2 linked regions of the Caenorhabditis elegans genome follow. The protein of the gene in region 2 purifies or fractionates together with the protein of the main gene of each other region. This does not show direct contact. Each region holds a gene or a part of one and is shown on either strand. Other genes may lie near its edges.

Region 1 (5,378 bases), on a different chromosome or scaffold from region 2:
CGATTTTTTGAATTGCAATTTGAGATGATTGTTTTGTTGTTTGTTATGACTTTATTTGAAAATGCAGAAAAATAAAAATCCAAAGTTTTATCATGTATAGGCTTGTGAGTAGACGGTGAGCTGAAAACAAAATTCCGATTCATTTTAAATTTTGTAAATTTAATTACCAAGGCTTCCAGCTCAGGAATCGCTCGAACTGCACTCAATTTATATGGATTTGTATTACAGAATGTGATTGATGGGAAGTTCGACTCTACCATTCCAATCTACAATTCTTTGGCTTCAATAAAATAATAAAGATTTAAAAAAAAAAGCGATTTAAGAAATTTACATTCAGATTCACCAATTTTTGAAACGAAAAGTATTGGCGAACGGTGACGGTGATAAGGTAGACGAACAAAACGGCGCTGATAATGAGCAAGGTTGTCCAGAGAAGGATCGTTGGCCACTGGAATCATGGAATCTCTGAATTTGAAGAAATATTTGAACCTATTACTTACTGAAAGAGATTGAGCCATGTGAGGGATTCCATGCCACGAACAAGACAATCCCCACTCGTGTACAGCACTTTTTGTTTTTCTGAATCCGAAAATCTATGGAAAAAGCTAGAAATTTAGAGTTTTTTTTATCTTACGACCATCTCGTTTCATCGACTGGTTTATCTTTCCATTGATCATTTTCAATGTCTTTAATGATTTCTTTGAATTCTCCATCTGAATCGGAAAAGTCCAAATCACTGTCGATAATCGAACTTTTTCGCTGCCGAACTTCAGACATAAGATGTGAAACAAAAATTGAGAAGAAAATTTACAAAACACTGAGCTTGTGCTCTTTTATTCTAACAAACACTGGCTTCAAGCCTACTTTTTTAAATTTTAGATGAAGAAAATGGAGAAGTGCTCGGATTTCGGAAAGAAATATGAACAATCAAACGGGGGAATGGAGCATAAATAATTTAACAAGAAATGATTACAGGAATAAGGGGATGGTGTAGGTAATTATAATTACATCTGGTTACTTGTTAGCGTTGTTGGATTCGTTATTAGCTTGGTATGATGGACGTGGTTTCGTGTTGAAGAAACGACGAGGTGGCAGAGTGGTGGTTGTGGTGGTGGTGGAGTTGGAGGATCGAGCACGTGGAGCATTGATCGATGAGCACATGCGATTTCCAATTTCCTGGGCCTTGCTGATGTCTTCTGGACGTCCGAAAAGATGGGAATTGGCGATACGGACGCGGTTCATGAGCTCGTACATGTGCATCATATGGAATACATCATCCATTTTTCTGAAATTAAATTAGATTTTAAATATATTTTCTCAGTTTTACAACTAACTGCATTGAGCTATGATTGTTGTTGGAATGCTCAATAAAGCTTCTCATCATCGCACACTTTGGATTGTAACAGTCGTTCTTTGACTCATGGTGGCTTGGGCTGTTGCCTGGCAGACGATAACCGTATGGAAGCAGGTCTGTAACAAACGTAATGTATATTTTTAAGTTTTTATTTGGGAATTTTCGAAAAAGTATTATCATAATTATTATAGAACACGAAATGGGTGATTGATAGACACATGAAGGATACAGGTAGATACAGGAAAATTATATATATATAGGAGAATTTTAAAAATACTAACTCTGGAACGGATGCCCATAGTCGCCGGATCCTGGAGATGTGGCTGAGCCGCGAGGTTGGTAGGTACCATTCATATTGGCAAGAATGAGCAATTGTTGACGCTTCAGCTCGTCGTTACCGTCAGTCTGAAAACTTTTATTATTGGTGGATAAAAGCGATATTTTTATTATTTTTCACTCACTGGTACATCAAGAATTGCTTGAATGTGACCGACGCCACCTTTCAAGAGTTTTGCAGCTTGCGGCATATCTGCTGGAACAGAAATTTGCACTCTCAATGGACCTGTAGTGACATCGGGATTCGAGCTTGATCCATCTCTCTTGGTTCTTCCGAGGATTGTGATGCGGCAACCAGTTGTCACTTCGAGCTGCTTTGCAGTTGTTCCACGTGGTCCAAGAAGTCTTCCAACGAAGTTGTAATCGGGAAACTTTTCTACTGGAACCATGATAGTCTCCGTGAGCATCGAACCATCGCCACTCATTTGTGAGCCACCATCATGAGCATCGTTTCCTCCGACTTTCTGAATCTCCTTGTCGATCAAGTTGAAGACATGGTTGAAGCCGCCGCTAGAGTATTGAGCCAGCTGATGCTTCTCGCCTTTCAGCGCATCGATGTAGGCTTCGACATCGTGCAGATTCTTCGACATCTCCTGATCCGAGTGGTTTGAAGTGGATTTCAGCGACTTTTGAGAGTCATCCGACGGTGGCGGAGTCAGAAGAGACGAGTGTTGATGCTTTTCGGCGAGGCGGAGAAGTTGAATGCCGTCCGTAAGCGAATCGGCAGAAGAACTCATTGTCAGGCAGAAGATGACTCTGAAATTAAAAAAAAACATTAAAAATTAACAAAAAAAAATAGAAAAAAAACTCACACGACTGAACGAAAAACGTTTTAAAACTGAACTTTTCCGGGAAGGTCATCGGATCAAAGACGGGCGGATGGATGACGTGGCAAGCTCACGTGGAAACACCACATCAGCCGCTGCGTGAACTTTTGCTCTCATTTATTAAAAAATATATTTAATATTAAAAATATTTTTCACTTCACGTGAGCTGTCGTTCTTTTTTCTCAGTGTGTGAAGTGAAACTTCGGCGTAAATTGAAAATGAAGTGAAAATTCCTACGTGAAGTTAAAAATCCTCCATAAAATGAAACTCCTGAATAGACTTGCGCACCTTTTGCATAGAATTCTGCACCACCTGCATAGAATTTCGCAACTCGTGCATAAACTTTCGCTGATGCGTAAGCCGAGAACGCAAAAAATAAAAATAAATCTGAACTGAATGTTCTTTCAACAGAAAAAAATCGCAGAAAATAGCAAAAATGCAAGTGCGCTCTATAACAAATTTCCATTCGAAGAGACAGTGATGATTTATTCATAATTACATGGTAAATTGCAAGAGGGGGCACCTGTTTTATAAGATTAATGGCAAGGGGGAGGGATGCGAAATAAATATTTTACATGATAGCGGGGTAAGTATGAAATGTTAGTTGGGGGAAAGATCAATCAATCAATCAAGGGGCGGCGTGGAATCGTGGCGAGCGTCTCTGTGTGCTGGTAAGTGGAGTGGATGACGACGACGGCGAGGATGATGTGGAGGATGATGTGGAGGATGATGGCGTGGAAGGGTCCGGTTGCGGAGACCATCGTGGCGAGCGTTTCGGATTCGCTGACAGGCCTGCATCGCGACCAGCCCTGCGTCTTGCTGACGCTTCTCGTGCATTAGCTCGAACGACCTGAATAATTGAAGCAATTAGGTTCCAATCATAAATTGAATACGTTTATAACATACCTCCTTCGCTGCATCATTTAATTCCTCCCATCGTTTCTTGTCGCTCAACCTCTTCTTCTCTCGTTTTTCGGCTTCCTTCGCCCTTTTCACAGCATCAGAAGGCTTGGCCTTCTTCGGCCCACTTCCTTTCCTCGAAGCTCTGTTGGCGTTGCTTTTCGCATTTTCCTCCTTTTTCTTGCTCGGAGACATCTTCTTGTACGATTCCTTTGCGGCGATGGCTCTCTTTGACAGATCGTAAAGCTGGGCTGGTTGGGATCGCATCTTGTTCTGGAAGAAGACAATGAAGAGAAATCACAATTACCGGGGCTTTTCAAGTAGTTCGTAAAATCAAAGTGTATTTCAAGATGCTCGTTGCCTTATAAATTTAAAAACATGTATTTAAATAAAGTTTGTGACGTTATTTTGCCACATTTCTCGGAAAAATCGTGATCAAATATTTATTCAAAACACTTACCGTTGTTAGGAAAAACAATTTGAATCCAAAAATATAGCAGGAAAAATCAAGGGAGGGCAACCACCAGTCGCCCAGAATAAAAGACAGAATGTCTAACTGTCGAGGTGTGGGGACGTCGTCGAATTAAATGCACAATACGCAAAGGTACGCAAACACCGATGTGTACCGTACTCCGAAATGTTTTTAATTTCCATGTTTTAAACTAGGAAATCGACAAAAATGAGAGTTTTAAGCACAAAAACAGAGCTTTTGAAGCAAAAAATTATTAAACAATACAGATGACATATGCTCCTAGAAAATACCAGAATGAAGGTGTTTTTGAGGAAAAAAAATTTAGGCCAAAATTTTTTTTTAAACAACAGTATTTTCGAGGAATCAGAGAAGTTCCCGATTTTCCAACAAGTTGAATCTGTAGAAGACTTAAGAATACTCTCGAAAAAAGTAGCTCTACAGAAGTATTTTAGGCCAACGGAAGGTTCAAATTCACAACAAAAGTCAATGTGGAATAGATTTCTTGTAGAAACTGAACAATAGGAACAGAAAATAACTTAATGACTTATTCTGTAGTAGTTCCAATCTTTATGAACACATTTTCAAGTACTAGATATCTTCCAATCGAGAAAAAAATCTGGATAGGTTCGGTTTTCTTTTACGTCGTCAAGTGTCCTGATATAAGCTTTCAATGTGTTTATTGGATCACGAAATTCTCGTGAGAGCTCTTGTCAGCATAAGCGCACATCAGCATAAGCATATTCAAAACGTGAGCATAAGCATATTTCAAAGGTTTCAGCATAGGATAGTTGGCAATGAGATTTTGCAATAAAATGTGTCCAACTAGAATGTTGTTGGCGATAGTGTCAAAAACATTTGGTTTTTTAGGTTTCAATGTTTTTTTTTTCGATTTATGAAAAAAAAAATCCAAAGGGTACCCCTTACAAAAATTTTCTAAATTTTTTTTTGAAAACTTTTTTTGAAAACTTTTCAAAATTTGATCAGATGTTATAGAAAAATGCAATGTTTGTTGTTTATCTAGTTTAGATGTTCTGAACACGAATTCAGACTAAAACCTGATGTATAGTAGAACCTCAAAATTCAAAAAACGCACTCACTTCGGATGCTGATATCTCCGTGTAATAATTTTTTATGACAAAGTGATCAACTACAAAGTTGTTTATCTTAATATAAAGTACAATTTTGCAGTTCATCGTTTTTTATCAAAAAATTGGTTGGATGAGATATGAATAGAAAAAGAAGAAGAAAATACAAGCATGAAGGTGCCGAACTTTACACAACTTTATCTCGACCAGCAATTTTTTTGGTGAAAAACAATCAACTACAAAGTTGTACTTTAGATTAAGATAAATAACTTTGTGGTTGATCACTTTGTCATAAAAATTTTTCCACGGAGATATCAGCATCCGAAGTGAGTGCGTTTTTTGAGCTTAGGGGTTCTACTATACCTCAGGTTTTCGTCTGCAATAGTGTGCAGAACATCCAAACT
Region 2 (5,212 bases):
CTTGGATCTTGCTCTTGGATCTTGCTTTAAAAATTCTTTTACTCCACTGAAAAAATCCTTTTTTTTTAATGAAAAAAGTCAATTTCGTCTGTCAAAACAGCTGTAGTTATTGACAAATTAACTATTTCAGCGGAAGTGGTTGCTGTAATTTCAATTGCTGATCAAGTTAAAAAAGAAGCATCACTTGCAATCTATACTCTACGTGAAATGGGTCTTCGTGTCGTACTTCTCACAGGAGATAACTCGAAAACTGCAGAATCAACTGCGAAACAAGTCGGAATTGATGAAGTATTCGCAGAAGTTCTTCCAAATCAAAAGCAACAAAAGATTAAGCAATTGAAAGGATACAAAAACAAAGTTGCAATGGTTGGAGACGGTGTCAACGACTCGCCGGCTCTCGCAGAAGCCAATGTTGGTATCGCAATTGCTGCAGGAAGTGACGTGGCAATTGAGTCAGCTGGAATCGTACTTGTTAGAAATGATCTTGTGGATGTTGTTGGAGCAATTAAGCTATCGAAAATGACGACGAGAAGGATTCGATTGAACTTTTTGTTTGCAATCATTTATAATGCGATTGGAATTCCGATTGCTGCAGGTGAATTTTAAAAAAGTTATTTCGAACAAAAAAACCGATTTCAAATGGTAGAATAAAAAGTGTTAAAAATGTCGAAAAATTTTCAATTTTCCGAAAAACGAAAAAATTGAAAAAAAATGTCTAGAACATTTTTTTAATTTGAAATTTTAAATATCAATTTTTTTTGAAGAGAAAAACTTTAAAAATTATATTTTCTCTGAAAAAAGAAAATTGGTCAAAATTTGTAGCTATTTTTCGAAAACCCGGGTAATTTTTTTTCGAACAAAAAAAATCAAAATTTTTCGACTTTTCGAATACCCGGAAAACGAAAAATCGTCTAGAAAATTTTTAAACAATTCAAAATTTTATCAAATTCGGTTTATCTTGTTGAGAAGTACTTAAGAAAAAAAATTTCTGAAAAAAAAGAAAAATAGCTTAAGTTTGAAGCTATTTTTCGAGAAAAAAACGGAAATTTTCTACTTTTGTCTGGAAAATTTGAAAAATTCAAAATTTAATGAAATTTTCGTTGATTTTCGTTGAGAAAAAAAAAGAAGAAAATATTGTTTTTCTAGAAAACGCTATTTTTCCAATAACAAAAAACAATCCACTTTTAATAATTTTCCAAATTTCCAGGTGTATTCCGCCCATTTGGCTTCATGCTTCAACCATGGATGGCTGCAGCTGCAATGGCTCTTTCCAGTGTCTCCGTGGTTTCTTCTTCACTTTTACTCAAAAACTTCCGAAAACCAACGATTGCAAATCTCTATACGACGAGCTTCAAACGACATCAGAAGTTCCTCGAATCGGGCTCTTTCCAAGTTCAAGTGCATCGAGGCCTAGACGATTCGGCTGTTTTTCGAGGTGCTGCTTCTTCAAAATTATCAATATTAAGCTCAAAAGTTGGCTCACTGCTCGGCTCAACAACAAGTATCGTGAGCTCTGGGAGCTCGAAAAAGCAACGACTTTTGGATAATGTTGGATCAGATTTAGAGGATCTCATTGTGTAGTTTTTTTGATTTTTTATCCAATTTTTTGTACATTTTGCGTGCTTCGTTTCGTCATCTCACTCTCATCACACACATACCGACCAAATTCCATTTTTTACGCGGTTTTATTGTTTTAATTTGTGATTTTTTGCCTTATTTTCTTGTATTTTCCAAATTTTGAATCGAATTTAATAAACATTTTTTAAAAATTTAACTATAAATTTTTGATTTTAAATCTCAAAGTATTTTTCAAATTTTTATATCTCTGGAAATTATTGCAACAAAAAATTATTCAAATTTAAATTTTCGCCAAAAACTACATATGTATTGTTTTTTCTTCCACGGCCACTAGGCCACCGATATTTTTTCGTCATTTTCCATTTCCAGCTTAATTTCCAGGCTTATATCACATAAAAATGGGCCAAGAACGTCTCGACAATGCAAATCCAACACTTTTCGACTCAAAACCACGTCATCGACCTGTTACTGGCACTGAAAGGTTGGTTTTTGGAGGGTTTTAACGCAAAAATCAAGTTTTAATCGTTAAAAGTTTACTTTGAATTCAAAAAGAGCATATTTTCACGGTTAAGTTTTTATATAAATAAAGTACAGAATTTTTAAAAAATTCCGCAAAAAAACAGCGAATTAATAAATTGAAAATTCGAATTTTCAGCCATTTTTCGTATTTTTTCAAATGAAAATTTATAGTTTGAAACGTAATTACTTCGATTATTAAATTGAAAACACAGAAAAATCAAGAAAAACGCTTTTTACCTGTTATTTAAACGAAAAACATAATAAATTTAACAAAAACACGATAAAATACGAAAAATCGCATGAAATCCAAACATTTAAATAAAAAATTCCAGTAAAATGGAAGAGGAGATGAATTTTTGACACTTTGAAGCTCCAGAACATCTGTGTCAAAAGTGTCGGTTTTTAGATTTTCGAAAAAATAAAATCGAAAAACGAAAATTTTCCGTTTTTTGATTTTTAGATTTTTCGATTTTCCAATATTTCGAATTTTTTTTCGATTTTTCTAAAATTAGCTAAAAATTCTGATAATTGTTCTTCTGTTTAGAAGACGTTTTTATTTAAACAAAATTAAATTTAAAAAAAAAAAGAATTTTCTGCTGAGTTTTTTTTAAGTTTTTGATTTTCCTTGAAAAAATAGAAAACATCGAAAAATGAATTTTTTGTGTTGTTTCGCTTGTAAAAATTGGCTCTCAATTCCACTACATTATTTTTAATTCAAAAAATATGATTCCAGAGATGAAAGCGTCGAAGATCCAATCGATTCGTGGGAGATTTTCGATCTGATCAGAGATATCAACGATCCAGAGCATCCATATACTCTCGAGCAGTTAAATGTGGTTCAAGAGGAGCTTATCAAAGTGTTTATCGACGAAGAAGAGACCTTTGTGAAGGTAACTTTAATTTTAAAATAACTTTAAAATTTTTTACAATTTTTTACAAAACATTTCCAAGAAGCTTCCAATCTTTGAACAGAAATTCTACAGCATTGATTGGAAAAAAGTGAAAAAAATGCGCTTGAAAAAATATTAAAAATTGGTCTCAGCAATGCAGGGCTCTCCTGATATATTTAATCAAAATATACTGATTTAATTGATAAAAAAAGTTGATTTATCTTGCTTTTATTTAAATTGGAACAATTGATTTTTCCAAATATCAGACAATTCTTGAGCGTTTCCCAATTGTTCCAACTGAAATAAACTTTTTTCAGGTAAAACAAATATTTTTTTTCTACCTTCTATCACTAAATTTTAATGAAAAATATTGCGAGAAAATTATTGATTGGTAATTTAAAATTAATTTTTTTTTAAATTTGAAAAAAAATTTCAGGTGAATTTCACACCAACCATTCCACACTGCAGTATGGCAACACTAATCGGTTTGGCGATTCGAGTGAAACTTTTGAGATCTTTGCATCCGAAAGTTAAAGTTAGCGTTTCAATCACTCCAGGATCACATTCTACGGAAGAATCAATTAACAGGCAGTTGGCCGACAAGGTAAGTTTTTAATTTTTGATGAAAATAGTAAAATCTATATAATTTAAAAACCATTTATTTTTGCAAAAAAATCGAAAAAAAACTCTAAAATTGACTTTTCTGCTGAAAAACGCCTGTAAAATTGGCAAAAAACTGTTTCGAACTATAGTAATATGTAAAATGAGGAAAAATCAATAGTAAATAACGACTTTAAAAATTTTTAAAAACTATGTAATTAGCTTTTTTTTTTGCTAGAAAATGTCTAAAAAATTTGAAAAAAAAGTTTAAATCATAATTTGCCAAAAAACGTAATTTCAAAACTCGGGCATTAATTTGCGCAAAAATTTAAAAAAATCACTAAAACTTTAAAATTCGCCAAAATTCGATAATTCAACATTTCTTCTTAATATTTTATGCTGAAAACCGTCTGAAAACATTAATTTGAATTTTTTGATTGCAAAATGGCAAAAAAATCATTTTAAAAATTATTTAATTTTTTTAATGGTTTATTTGGAGATTTCGGTCTATTTTTATACTTTGCATTTTTTATTTTCGAAATTTTTTGAAATTAAATTTTAAAGTATAGAAAATAAGACCGAAGTTTCCGAATAAACCAATAAAAAAATTCAAAAAAAATTTAAAACATTGTATTTTTTAGTTTAGAAGCAAGCCCCTCAAAAAGTTAATTTTTAAAACATAAATTCAAAATGTCTCATTTAGGAACGAGTAGCTGCTGCAATGGAAAATCAAGGACTAATGCACGCTGTTAACGAATGCCTCAGAGTTCCAGAATAACCAAAAAAAGATCCAGATTAAAGTTTTTGTGATATTAAAAGTTGCCTATCTATCAGGTTTCGAATAAAAACGTGTTTAAAATTATTTAGTTTTTTTGTCGAAATTTTCATTTTCATAGGTTAGATTTAAAAATCACCAGAAAAGTATCTAGATTCAGGGAATTTATTTTTTTGTTGAAAAATTAGTGATTAAGAATTCGAAAAAAAATGTTCAAAAGTGTCAGGATGTTCTCAACGAAAAAATCACAAGGAAATTTGCACAAGTGAGTTTTCTTCCCCCATCAAATATAAATTTATTTTTCAAATTTAAATTTCAGATATATTCAACGGCAATCAACAGACGAATTTGCGGTTAAAGCTCGTGAGCACAATTACCGAGCACGGAGCGCCTTCAAATTAATCGAAATTAATGAGAAATTCAAATTTCTGAAACCGGAGAGTACTGTAATCGATATTGGATGTGCACCTGGCTCATGGCTTCAAGTAGTTGTGCAGAAGTGTCCAAATGGATATGCATCGGGTGTAGATTTACAAGTAAGTTATTAAAATTAGTTTTAGAAAAAAAAACGTTGTGCCCCCAAAAGTTGGGTCTCGTTAGGTATTTGACTGCAAAATCGGAAATAAAAAAAGTTTTTTCTTGTTTTTTGCCGATTTCGCTAGTTTTCAAGAATTTTAAGTAGTTTGTTTAAAAGTGAATAATTTTTTTTTCATTTGTCACCCATTTTGGCTTACAATTATTAAAATAAAAGAACAAATACACGACGGAAAATGCTTGAAAAGTAATTTAAAATTTTTGAATTTCCGGTTTCGCCGCCAAATACCTAACGAGACCCACGTTCCGGGGGCGG

What was found. Proteins that work in one complex are often made in the same cells at the same time.
Region 1: the proteins of ciao-2B (region 2) and Y57G11C.36 fractionate together in Caenorhabditis elegans (co-fractionation; one large-scale study listed by BioGRID). This does not show direct contact.

Annotation. Positions count from the first base shown.
Region 1 is NC_003282.8:14,770,610-14,775,987, forward strand, and holds Y57G11C.36 (K Homology domain-containing protein), read right to left. Parts: upstream 3,146-5,378; 5' UTR 2,503-3,145; intron 2,447-2,502; 5' UTR 2,428-2,446; coding exon 1,816-2,427; intron 1,760-1,815; coding exon 1,636-1,759; intron 1,471-1,635; coding exon 1,335-1,470; intron 1,286-1,334; coding exon 1,015-1,285; 3' UTR 810-1,014; downstream 1-809. Other genes in the region: Y57G11C.43 (Protein KTI12 homolog), read left to right, coding at 1-28; degl-1 (DEgenerin Like), read right to left, coding at 91-120, 168-266, 332-448, 501-579, 635-777; Y57G11C.51 (DUF3362 domain-containing protein), read right to left, coding at 3,146-3,367, 3,424-3,684.
Region 2 is NC_003281.10:13,436,290-13,441,501, reverse strand, and holds ciao-2B (MIP18 family protein F45G2.10), read left to right. Parts: upstream 1-1,957; 5' UTR 1,958-1,976; coding exon 1,977-2,059; intron 2,060-2,830; coding exon 2,831-2,987; intron 2,988-3,423; coding exon 3,424-3,591; intron 3,592-4,290; coding exon 4,291-4,365; 3' UTR 4,366-4,448; downstream 4,449-5,212. Other genes in the region: cua-1 (P-type Cu(+) transporter), read left to right, coding at 131-595, 1,208-1,581; F45G2.9 (rRNA methyltransferase 2, mitochondrial), read left to right, coding at 4,590-4,627, 4,682-4,898.